3 linked regions of the Mus musculus genome follow. The protein of the gene in region 3 interacts with the protein of the main gene of each other region in a pairwise test. Links are inferred from orthologs where the notes say so. Each region holds a gene or a part of one and is shown on either strand. Other genes may lie near its edges. The genes, in order: Unc119, Lrif1 and Tk1.

Evidence for each region.
Region 1: the proteins of Tk1 (region 3) and Unc119 interact in a two-hybrid assay, tested with the Homo sapiens proteins (2 studies listed by BioGRID and IntAct). The link is inferred for Mus musculus from reciprocal best matches to the Homo sapiens genes TK1 and UNC119.
Region 2: the proteins of Tk1 (region 3) and Lrif1 interact in a two-hybrid assay, tested with the Homo sapiens proteins (2 studies listed by BioGRID and IntAct). The link is inferred for Mus musculus from reciprocal best matches to the Homo sapiens genes TK1 and LRIF1.

The regions. Positions count from the first base shown.
Region 1 is NC_000077.6:78,342,058-78,346,340, forward strand, and holds the start of Unc119 (protein unc-119 homolog A), read left to right. Parts: upstream 1-1,437; 5' UTR 1,438-1,509; coding exon 1,510-1,729; intron 1,730-3,526; exon of another isoform or gene 3,527-3,625; intron 3,626-4,283. UniProt on the Homo sapiens protein: Involved in synaptic functions in photoreceptor cells, the signal transduction in immune cells as a Src family kinase activator, endosome recycling, the uptake of bacteria and endocytosis, protein trafficking in sensory neurons and as lipid-binding chaperone with specificity for a diverse subset of myristoylated proteins.
Region 2 is NC_000069.6:106,720,423-106,724,574, reverse strand, and holds the start of Lrif1 (ligand-dependent nuclear receptor-interacting factor 1), read right to left. Parts: upstream 2,894-4,152; 5' UTR 2,531-2,893; coding exon 2,469-2,530; intron 1-2,468. UniProt on the Homo sapiens protein: Together with SMCHD1, involved in chromosome X inactivation in females by promoting the compaction of heterochromatin.
Region 3 is NC_000077.6:117,815,943-117,819,569, forward strand, and holds part of Tk1 (thymidine kinase, cytosolic), read right to left. Parts: intron 1,250-3,627; coding exon 1,160-1,249; intron 625-1,159; coding exon 505-624; intron 331-504; coding exon of another isoform or gene 241-330; exon of another isoform or gene 204-240; intron 198-203; coding exon 9-197; 3' UTR 1-8. UniProt on the Homo sapiens protein: Cell-cycle-regulated enzyme of importance in nucleotide metabolism. Catalyzes the first enzymatic step in the salvage pathway converting thymidine into thymidine monophosphate.

The sequences.
Region 1 (4,283 bases), about 39 Mb from region 3:
GGTGTTGGGCCAAGAGACCAAGGCAAGGTCTGCTGGTGATGACATGTCTTCACTCTCGCCCGTGGGCTCTCTACGGATGGCACTCCACGATGGGCTCCCTTCCCCTCCTAGTCCACTGGCTTGCTCCTCCATGCCTACAAGCCTCAGAAGGTACCCTTCCTGATCTCCATATCTGGCTCGAACTTGAAAGCCTTTGTGTGCCTACCTCTGGACAGGGGTACTTTGTCCTTGCAGCCTGTCAGCACAGCATACAAACGCACTGAGAGGTGAATTTAGGGGAGTACTTGAGTTGAATTGTAGCCCTGTCCTCTCCACTTCTGAGACCACCTCCCTCCTTCCTCAGCTTCTTGACTGGCGTCACCCACTGGGGACAGCCTGGTCTAGGAGGCAGTGGCTTAGGATCTTCTACCTTGTGGCTAAGGTTCCCCTCTACCCTTTCAGAGAGGTAGTGTGGAACAGGAGAAAACATTTCTGACTTGGAACCCAACAGGCCTGAATCAGACTCCGGCTTCTGCACTTAACAGACTAGAGAGCATCAGCTAAGCCGCTCCTCGCTCCTCACCTGAGCCTCAGGTTTCCATTGGTGGGAAAGCACTGATGATGTCACCCTCAGAAAGGGGCTGGATTAAATGTGATAAGCCTGTAAAAGTGTTCTGTATATTGGGCTCTTTAAAAACATACATTAGACTGTTATTAAACGTTGGTTGAATATGAGTTGATATGGATGACCATAACTCGTTCTTGTGTGAGAAGCAGACTGACCTGTTCTAGCTCACCATGTGTTCTTCCTGCCTCCCGTCCTGAGCATCCTGGGGACGGCTCGACACCTGGGCTGTGCTGCCTGCATGTTGTAGGGTGCCTGCGGATTGTAGGGTGCCTGAAGCAGCTTTTAGCAGGAGTTCTAGTGGGGAGTAGCTTGAGCCAGTGACAGCCCTGGGATAGCAACTCAATTCAACAAAGGAAAATACTGGGTGGGTACTGGCTGCAAGGAGCTGTGTGGTAGTGCTAGGGTGTTACGAGGAACAGTGTATAGAGCATCTCTGCTTTCATAGAGCTGACCTTTGAGGAGGAAGGGTCAGGGAACAAGCAAGAATTTCACTTAATGTATTACAAAAAAAAAAGGGCTGGTTAGCTGGAAATTGAGAAGAAGTACTTTAGAACTGGGTGGGTTGAGACCTGGGCTGAAGTCAGGACAAAGGTATCAGGGAAAGACCTTGAGGTTGGAACCCAGGAGAGAAAGAGGAGAGGTATTCGGTAACTACATTGTCAAAAAGAATCTACATTGTCAAAAAGTTCACAAGGACCCCCAGGATTCTGGCTCCCCCGCTGGAGACGCCAGGCGGTGGGCGGGGTATGTGTGACCCGCCTCCCGTGGGCGTGACCAAGGCGGGACGGCACCTGGGGCCCGGCCGGGGGTGGGGCGGCGGACGCTCCCCCTTCCCCTGGCTCCAGCCGGCGCAAGCAGCGGCGGCGGTGGCAGCGGGCGAGGATCTGCGGCCCCGCGAGGCCATGAAGGTGAAGAAAGGCGGCGGCGGGACCGGGTCGGGGGCGGAGCCCGTTCCAGGGGCCTCGAACCGGAGCGCGGAGCCCACGCGGGAGCCTGGGGCGGAAGCTGAGTCCGGGTCCGAGTCGGAGCCGGAGCCAGGCCCGGGGCCCAGGCTGGGGCCGCTGCAGGGCAAGCAGCCCATCGGGCCGGAGGATGTGCTGGGGCTGCAGCGGATCACGGGTGGTGAGCACCGGCGAGGGAGCGCCACCCGCGGGCTGGAGGGAGAGCGCGGGAGGGGGCCCACGAGGCTCAGAGTCCAGCCCCCACCCCTCCCCCACGCAGTGCCCCTCCTCTGTATCCCCTTACTCTCTCTCTCTTTGCCTCCAAGCCTGAAATCTCTGTGCTCTTTCCCTTGGTCTCTTGATGCGCCCCCTCCTCTCCTTGAAGTGGCTTCTTTTCACCCCACTCCTTCTTTTTCAAGGGGCCCACCCCTTTTCCCATGGTGGAGGTGGGGCAGCAGCTGCATCTGTAACCCTTTCCCCAGTGGAGTCTTCGGAACCCTTTGAGGGTGCTCGCACAGAGGAGTGTGCCTCATTGCAGGCTGTCTTCAGTGGCCACATCAGGCTAGGTGGAGGCAAGGAAAACCTTCAGGCTCCCTGACCGACCGTTATAGCCCTCACTCTGCTTCCCCGAGGAAGGCTGAGGCCATACTCTGCCCAGGAACATTGCTGATACGGGTGCTTCCGTCTGTTGGCTGTGGGCCCTGTGATGGAAGCAAGTGCGTGACCCCCCTCCCCCCAAGTCAGGACTTGTTCTTTTTCCAGGGCTCTCTCATCAAGGGAAGGCTAGTCTCCACTGAAACTGAGTTTCTGAGCTGTGCTACCTGGATTAGAGTCCCAGAGTTTGCCCGGAAATTGGCTGTGTGACCTTGGGGATGTAATTTCATTTGCAGGAGCATGTTTGCTTTTTTTTTTTTTTTTTTTTTTTTTTCCCATCTGTAAAATGGGAACAAGAACAATGTTACCTCCCTCAAGGTTATTGTGAAAAATAAAGCCAGTCTTCTGATTTTGGACAATGTTTGGCATGCTGTGCACGCTGTCAACAGGGTTCCTTTATCAACAGTGTTGGAAGCTACATAGGACTGTTCAGAGTGGCTGCCTGCAGGCAGATAAGTGATCGTTCAGGGCCAAGGCAGGCACCGCTACAGACAGTGCACAAGGACTAGAGAGTCTTCTGGCAAAAGGTTGGCTGAGCCTTGAGGAATGGAAGGTATTTGGAGAGACAGTGGCGGGTTGCCTTGGAATGGGTAGGTCACCAGCAACCTGCTCCGGCTCCACTTGTGAGCTTAGACTTCCCTTCTCTGGGATGGACACGGGTGCTAGTGTGGAAATAAACCCGCTAGCCTCAGGAGCAGCAGAGCCCAGGGCTCCCAGACAGCTGTGGAGGGGACCAGGATGACAGGCCTGAGCTTGTGCATCTGGGTCCCCAGGGGCCTCCCTCCTCCTTCCAGGGCTAGACAGCGGCATTCTTGGCTAGACTTCCCCAGCACTTGCTTCCTTGGCCAGGCAGCCCTCAGTGGAGGGAGGGGCCTTGACCAGGCTGATGTGGAAGCCCGTGGGCTGCTGCCTTTTGCAACAGGAGACCTTACAGCTTAGCTTGGCCCTGTGCGTTGGAGGGCAGGTTCACTGGCCTCTGGCCTGGATAACTGGAGGCTTATTTTGCAATGGAGGAAGCTTCCAGGTGAAGTCACAGCATGTGTCTCCCAGTCTGGAGGAAATGGCATAGCATGTGGAGGATGAGTTAAGACAAGTGCCTCTTTAAGAGCCCTTTTCTGTGCAGGATTTGAAAACAGGGTTCCAGGCCTCTCCACCTTGCCTGCATCTTGTGACCCTAATCACACAGGGCTGAGGTTTGCTGTTTCTGGATTACCAGGCCTTGAATCCAGATTAGGAAGCTATTTCTGTCCACAAGGACGAGAGCAGGTGGGTTCTGAGCCACTCTGCTCATTACTCTGGCCTGACCTTGGGTCCTAGGCCTCGTCTTTTTCTTGGCTGAGGAGAGGAAGTGGCTGCCTTCCTAGGCAGCCCCTGATCCTCGCTCCTTGTAAGGGCAGAGAGGCCCACAAGTTGAGTTTGCAGTGTAAGAGACTGAGTGCAGAGTGTGAGAAATCCTTCCCAGTGAGAGGAGAGGGTTCCAGGCTGGGCCTGCTGTAAGAAAGGAGGCTTTTCCTGGGAGTTGGGCAACTAGGCCTCTGCTTCCAGTTCTGCCCCCCCTTCTCCCTCTGCCCTGCAGCATCTTTCTATAGCTTTATCTCAGACCTCAGCTCCAACGAGCTAGAGAGCTGTCAGGAGGGCTTCCTGGAGGGGGCTGTCCCCGGCTTGGGGAGGAGACAGGCCGAAGGATGAGAGAATAGCTTTATATTCACTTCCTTTTTCAACCACAGAGGGATAGGGGGTGGCCCAGGGACCTGGGGGTGACTTCCGGGCCTCTGTAGGTCAGCGGAGAGGATGTGGTACCGGAGGCTGGCAGTACCCAAGTCTCCACAGCAATTTTCTGCCCCTTCCTAATTCTTGCCAGGGCCTCCCCTAAGACTTGGTGTAAGGTTTTAGGAAGCAGGAAGATCGGGAGTTCAAGGCCAGCATCTGCCACATAGTGAATTTGAGGTTAGCCTAGGCTACATGGAACCCTGACTTAAAAACAGCAACAGAAGAGTGGTAACGGTTAAGACCATGAGCGCCCCTGGGCAATGCTTGGCTCTCTTGGTTTCCTTCTGAGCCCAGGACTCTTCTTGCCTCCT
Region 2 (4,152 bases), on a different chromosome or scaffold from region 3:
ACAGAATTACATGCTTTCCTTAAGGAATCTTATTTATACTTTATATAAAAAGCAAGGTTCAACAATTCAATTGCATAAGTCCAGTTAGCTTATATGGTGTTAATGTCTCTCCAAGTTTACTCTGAAGTTGTAAAGATAAAACTTTACAACCAAAGACATCAACCAGCAATGAAACATTTTCTTCCCAAGTGAATGAAGCCACATGCTGAGAGCAGTAATTTTAACTGGACATTTGTCTTTGTCTCATTTAATTCACAAATATTGACAAGAAAGCTTCTCAATAAATCTTAGTAATTTCCTAATAAGGTATGTGTAATTTTTATTCCATTTCTTTAAATCTAATTCTCTACCATCTTATCCAAGCCCTCGGATTTCTGAAGTCATCTGAAATACAATCTTCATTCTAAATCAGCACGGTCACTAGTTACTCAAACCTATTTTAATCTCATCAATCCTATTCCAAAAATTTTCTGCACACTCAATCTCCAATAGATGAAATAGTTACCAGACCAAAGCAAACGTTAGAGCTATTATGCTACCTGTGGTACACAACTGAGTAAATAAGAATTCAATGCAAATCTTAATAATTAAATGACTACTACACTGCAAATATACAGATTTTTGCATTGTTCTTATAAAACTGAGTTTCCTATTTTTATGCTTGATTAAATTACATACATTAAGTAATAAATATTCTCTATGACAATACTACTCCGAATATGTTATGATATCAGAAAATTTAAGAAATAAAAGCATGAAAATATAACAAGGCACAAGAAAATAAGCCAATGAATTAAAGAAGTTGAAAGTAACCAAAACATAATTGAATTTAAGATATTTTTCTGACTTAAAAATTTGCCAAAATTGTTAGAAAGTGTTTAAAAGAGAGCCCAAGGGCATAATAAAAAACTTTAATGCACCACTTAATCTTATAGGACTGGAAAAGAATATGATCTTAAACACATAAGTTATATCATCTATAATATATCATATACAGGTAAAACATATAAAATTATTGACTAAAAAGCATTTCTTCTACTTTTGCTTCTCTGTATAGGATACAATTTATCTTTAAATTTCCACAAAATACAGACTACCAAAGAGCCGTCTCTATTGCTATATAACAGTTCTTTCTATGTTAACAGCTCACTAGTTACTGTTAATGACTTTGGGGGGGGTACTTGCATAGTAACAGCTTCCTAAAGATTCAGCTACTGGCAAGGCTGACACAGGATGGTCACTTGTTTTTGTTAGAGCATTGTTTTAAAGGAAAATGTGTGTGTGTGTTTTTTTTAAAATCACTATTGGTTTTTCATTGCAATTTGGGTTTGTATATACTTGTAACTAAAAGAAACCTAGAAACAGGACACAAATTCATGTTCTTAAACTTGGAGCAAATATTTAAATAATCCTTTCTTTCTTAAATTATTTCTTTTCTGTTGTTATCAAAATATTCCCTGATACCATTATTTTTATTAGAAAGTGAAACATTAGTCTCATAAATGGTAACAAACAAAGCTGCAATAAACACCAGGTAGATTTTCTTTTTTCAACCACAATCCCCTTTCATCAGTTTTGCTCTTAGATTTTATGTTGTTCATTTACCTTCTACAGACTTACTAATCTTTGCTTCTCAACAAGCACTCATTAACTCTGGAAAGCATAAATTAAAGAATTGTTCCTTAAGGAATATTCTGTTGTTCCTGCTTTTATTTCATCTGGATTAACACAAAATTAAAAGAAAAATGTTACTGGTGATACATTTCCAAACCAAAGACTGTCAGAACCCTTTGTAATCCTAACACGAGGTAAACCCAGGCTGTATTGTGGACAGTCCTGGCTATAGTGAGTTTCCTACCTAACCAGAGCCATACAGTGTTCCAACTGTTCCTTTGTAGAGACAACCAATGAGATGCACCCCTTTTAGACCCGTTTCAAATGTGTTACCTGGAAAAACACATTTCAAGTTTTTACTTTTCTCCATATTAGTTGAAATTTTCAAATACTAAAGTCCCTTGTTCTAGAACACATTTTCTAAGTACATTAAAATGGGACTATTTTCACTTGAAGTTACAGCGCCGCGGGGCTGCACTTGCTAATCCACGATGGGTGTTTTGGTAAGTGTTTGAGATTCTTGGAGCATCGCCAAGTTGGTTTTACTTCCGTGGGTATCTACTTGTTCCGCCTATGAAATTCGAGCGGGTGGCGTAGGGCGCGCTGGGGGCCAGGAGATGGTAGCTGCGTTGTAATCGCGGGCTGCTTTACATTTTGGAGAGGACTGGGAGCCAAGGGCTCTGCACTGGTGTGCAGTGGGTGCGGTGTAAGGAGGTGTGCTGTGATGGCGCTGTGCTCCCACATCCCCGCAGCTAGCACCCGGTGCGCGCGGCTGAACGTCAGCTGACGCGGCCATGACAACCTAAGTCACAGGGTGTGGGCGGGCGCCTGAAGAACTGGGAACTGGTACTTACCAGCGCGAGCCTGACTTTTCCTCTGCGGTTTTCAGAATGACGCTCTGGAGACTATTAGACATTTTAGATGGGTGGGAGGGGATAGGGCAGTGAATACTGGGGGGACAGCGTCCCCAAGTAGGCGCGAACCAGAGCACGGGTGTGGAAGGGCAGCGTCTGAGGCGAGCGAACAGAAGGGTGTGACGGGAGATAGTTGAGAGGGCGGCTCCCCCAGCTTCCGTGGGAAGTGGCTGTAGAAGCCGGAAGACTCCTACCTCAGGCAAGCTCACAGTTTTCCGGCGAGTCTCTTCTGGCTACGTGACGCATCACAGCCAGTCAGAGAGGACGTGGGGGGCGTGGCATCAATAGCACCACCCACGACAGGGCCTGATCGGAGTCTGCGCCCACTAAAACCGAGCTCCTAGAGCCAGGGATCCTAGGCATACAGCTACGTCACATATGGTTACCAAGGCGAATGGATCGCCATGGCCCCGCCCTTATGACGTGGTCCAATCGACAGCGAAGGTTGAGGTCTCTTCTTCCGGATCAAAGGAGGAACTAAAAGAGAAAGTGCTTTCACTGCCTACATGAAATGAAATACTTCCGGTGTCAGGCTTAAATTGTCTGCACTTGTACATGCGCTTTTGCAAGCCAATGTAATAATGTCCTCCTTAGCAGTTTTATTCAGTAGACACAGATAGGCATTTGGTAGTTGCCATAAATTGTTGAAAACCTTTATCTCCCTTCTCATGGCTAGAAGTGATTATTTTTTTCTGTTTCTTGAAGTTTTGCTCTACATTAATCGATTAACCATTTTCTCCATTCCCACACTAACACCTCAGTTAAAACTGTATCTTACTGTCATGTATTCAATTCTTTGAGTGTCTGTGCATTAAATCCCCTGTATAAACTTTTTGAAACTCTTAATTTCCAGAAACCAGCTCTAAGAATTCTCTAGAGTCCTGCAGTTAATGACTATTTGAGAATTGGGATCATACTGTTTAATGGGTAGGAGGAATTATAGTTTAATTAGGTGTGGAATATTATGAAAGTGTTTTCAAAGATAAAATTTTATTTGACATAGGCAATCTTGTATGCTGCAGTGTTCAAATTCAGGACACTGATAAGGTAGACAATTTGAAGGTTTATATGGTTATTTAAAAATGGAATTACCAGGCTTAGTGACACACATATGCAATTCTAGCGCTTGGAAAGTACAAGCAAGACGATAGGGGCTTTAAGATCACCCTTGGCTACTTAGTAGAAGGCCATCAAGAACTACATGAAATCTAGTCTCACAAAAAGGGAAGAAGAAAGGTTTACTCATACCCCTAACTGCTAAACGTTAAAGATTTTTAAGAACTTCAGGTTTTGATATGTCAAGAGAAAGTATCATTTTCCTATTTTTGTATAGCACATTTATTTGACAATAAAGTACCCTGTTCTCATACTAAAGACATCAGGAAAGATAGGCAGACCTTAATGCTTTCAAGCTTTATGGCATCTTTTGTCTATGTAATCAAAGTTACTAGGAAAAAACAACAATGACAACAACAACTAAAACAAACAAACAAAAAAATCAAATGCGTTTTGCTACACATTGCTGTGCACACCTTTTATTCCAGAACTCAGGAAGAGGCAGGTGGGTCTCTGAATTTGAGGTCAGCCTAGTCACCAAAGTGAGTTTCAGGTTAGCCAGGGTTAT
Region 3 (3,627 bases):
AGGTCCCCTCAGTTGGCAGAGTTGTATTGTAGGACTTGCTGAGAGGCAAAGAGCTTCCTGACAACCAAGGCCTCTCCCGGCTGCCCCAGCACCAGACAGTTCTTGTTGTCTGAGCCAGCAGTCTGGGCTGAAGACTTCTTAAAGTAGCACAGGCGGCACACGGAGTGATACTTGTCGGCTCCGCCAATCACCTCCACCTGGTGGGAGGGAGATGTGAGGGCGGGACTCAGAAGCCGGAGCCTAAGCCCACCCCACTCCTTGGGCAGAAGTGTGTGTGTGTGTGTGTGTGTGTGTGTGTATACCTCTTTCTCCAGGCCCAATCACCTCCACCTGGTGGGAGGGAGATGTGAGGGTGGGACTCAGAAGCCAGAGCCTAAGCCCACCCCACTCCTTGGGCAGAAGTAAGTGTGTGTGTGTGTGTGTGTGTGTGTGTGTGTGTGTGTTGTGTGTGTGTGTGTGTGTGTGTGTGTGTGTGTGTGTGTGTGTGTGTGTGTGTGTGTGTACCTCTTTCTCCAGGCCCAGCCTCTTCGTGTAGGCAGCTTCTCGGAAGCACTCCATGCACACAGCGGTGAGCTTCACCACACTCTCCGCCAGGGGCACCAGGTTCAAGATGCTGCCGAAAGCCTGCACGGAAGACAGCAGGTGTGTGCGGTCAGTTAGCCAGGCACCTCCCTCCTCTGCCTGTGTTCACATGTGTATGTGTGTGGGGGCCAGAGAGCAACGTCAGGAGCTGTGCCTCTGCACTGTCTACCTTGGTGCTTTTGGAAACGGTCTCTCACTGGCTTGGGGCTTGCAGTGTAGACTAGATCAGCTTGCCAGTAAGCCGCTAAGATCTGCCTGTCTCTGTCTCCTGGTGATAGCATTTTAAAGAGTCCTGAGGATCTAACTCGAGCCTGTGTGCTTTGCAAGGCAAGCATGCTTCAGCTTGAGCTCTTCCCACCGCCAACGCTTCTCTTTTAAACCCCATGATTCAGGCTACATCATACTTTACTGATCCTGCTTTCTTGAGAGCCACACCCTCCTGCTCTCTACCCTTTGGCCAGTTCAGAGCACCCACTAGCCAATAGCTTCTATTCTGAACACACCTACTTCTGGGGAGACCTTGTATATTGTTTCCTGCCTCAGGATCCTCTGCCAAGCCAGAGTCAGACATCTTTACCTTCCTCTGGAAGGTCCCATCCAGCGCTGCCACAATTACTGTCTTGCCCTCGTTGGCCATCATTTCACAGAAATCCACAATGTCAGGAAACTGGGAAAAGTCCAGAGGATGAGGTGAGCTGCCCCAGGCAAGGGCCTCACGAAGACCGTGGGGGAGCTGAGCATGCAGGTAAGCCCAGAGCCGGAGACCAGACCACACCGCCAGTCCTGTTAAGACATCCCACCCACTTGCCCACTGCTACCCAGAGCTTGCCAGCAGGCTCCATCCAGCATCTGAGAGAGGCCTCTACACACCAGAGAGGCTGGAACAGCAGCTCTCAACTTGCAGGTCACGACCCCCGGGGGCTGAACGACCCTTTCTTTCACAGGGGTCACATATTAGATATTTGCATTATGATTCATAACAGCAGCAACATCATAGTTATTAAGTAGCAACAAAAATATATAGAATAGAGTTTATTTAGGCCATGAGGAGGGGAGTTGAGAGAGTAGCAGAGGCAGAGAAAAGCAGAAAGGAGAGAATAGAGACATGGGGGCCGACCATGACCATGTGGAGAGTGGGGGAAGGGAATGGGGAGCAAGGGGGTGAGAGGCAAGAGTGTAAGAAACAAAAATAATCTTCTGGCTGGGGTCACCACACGAGGAACTGTATTAAAGGTCTCAGTTAGGAAGGTTGAGAGCCACCAGGCTAGAACTTTCCCCTACAGTTCCTGGAAGGAAGCGGCCCTGCCAACACCAAGGGTCTCTTCCTTCCAGAACGGTCAGTGCACAAAGCTCTGGGCTTAAAGTCCTTGCTGACTTCTGTTAGGGCAGACTTAGAAGCTAAACACAGCTCATGTTTAAAATGGGCTTTCAGAGAGAGAACTCGGGGTGGACGGCAGGAAAGAGCACGTGCCACTCTTGCAAAGGACCCAGTTGCCAGGGCCACATGGTCACTTACAACCATATGTTAATTTCAGCTCCAGGGGCCCTGGTGACCTCTTCTGGCTTCTATGGACACTGCACACATTTGATAGACATACATATAAAAATAGCAAACACTCATACATTTCAGGAGCAGACCAGGTAGCTCAGTTGGTAGAAGAGAGCTTACCCAGTGTGCATGAAGCCTTGGGCTCCACCCCCAGCAATAAATGAACCAGACACAGTGTCCAACACCATAATACCAGTACTTTGAAGGTAGAAGGATTACAAAGTTCAAAGCTATGAGATCCTGTCCCAAAACATACAGGGCTGGGGAGATGGTTCAGCAGTTAAAAGTATGACTCGTTCCTATAGATTACCAGAATTCAATTCCCAGTACCCACATCAGATAGCTTAGCTCCAAGGGATCTAATATCCTCTTTTGGCCTCTGCAGGCACCCATAAACACGCACACGCACGCACGCTCTTCAGCCCCCATGGACGGGTGGAGGGAGAGCCTAAGTGAAAACCCAGAGAATAAGCACCATGAGGTTACACTGGCATTTTCCCACCAAGAAATCCCACGTGAGAGAGAATGGCTCTTGGCAATGAGATGTGCGAGGCAGGAGCAGGTTGGCAGGGATAGCTGCCCTCCGGGGTCACTCAGGCCGGCCAACCTTCAATAGCACAGTGTCTCCCTAGAATCAAGACCCAGGCTTCTCTCCCCTGCCCAGCAAGGCTGGGCATTTTCCTTAATAGTTCTTTACCTTCTTTGTTTGAGATAGGACTCTCACTGAATCTAGACCACAGCCATTCAGATGGGCGACAGGGAGCTCCAGGGACCCGCCTGCCTCTGCCTCCCTAGTACTGCGGTTATGGACACGTGGCTATACCCAGCATTTTACAGGGGTGCTAGGGACTCACGCCTGCAGAGCCAAGGCCTCACTGTTCTGTCTCCCCATCTCTTCCATCTTTTGCTTTTGATTGGTTATTACCGTGTAACCCAGGCTGGCCTGGTACTCAAAGCAATCTCCTGTCTCAGTGTTCGTGGAGCTGAGTGTGCAGGTCTGCCACCCTGCCTGGTTCCTCAGACCTTTTCTTGAGCACACTCCTGCTCCACGCCTTAGTGTTCTAGCCTTTCTCTTCGTCCCCAGTCCCTCCCAGTCTATCAACAGAGGTGAGCTGGAAGCTCCAGATTTGTCTCCAGACAGAGAATGCCACAGCCAAAGGGCAGAAACTTGGAATGAATGTGATTGGTCCCTGGACCCAGCCATCCCCACAATAGTCACAGCATGTGACATGGCCTGCTCTATAAAAACGCACATGTATAATTAGAAGCGTCCAGGCTGGGCTGGCACTCGTCAGAGTCCTGGCCCTGACTGAACATAATCTCTTGGGCCAACATCAGGCAAGGCACCCTGGCCAGCATGAATATAGACCCATTCCGCCGTCTCACCTGAGCATCGACAAAACAGGCACAGTTTATGCCAGAAGCAGCCAGACAGGCACTGCCCTCCCTCCAGGCTCCAACCCTTCTGCCAGAAGACCCACGGGAGCCCTCTCCTT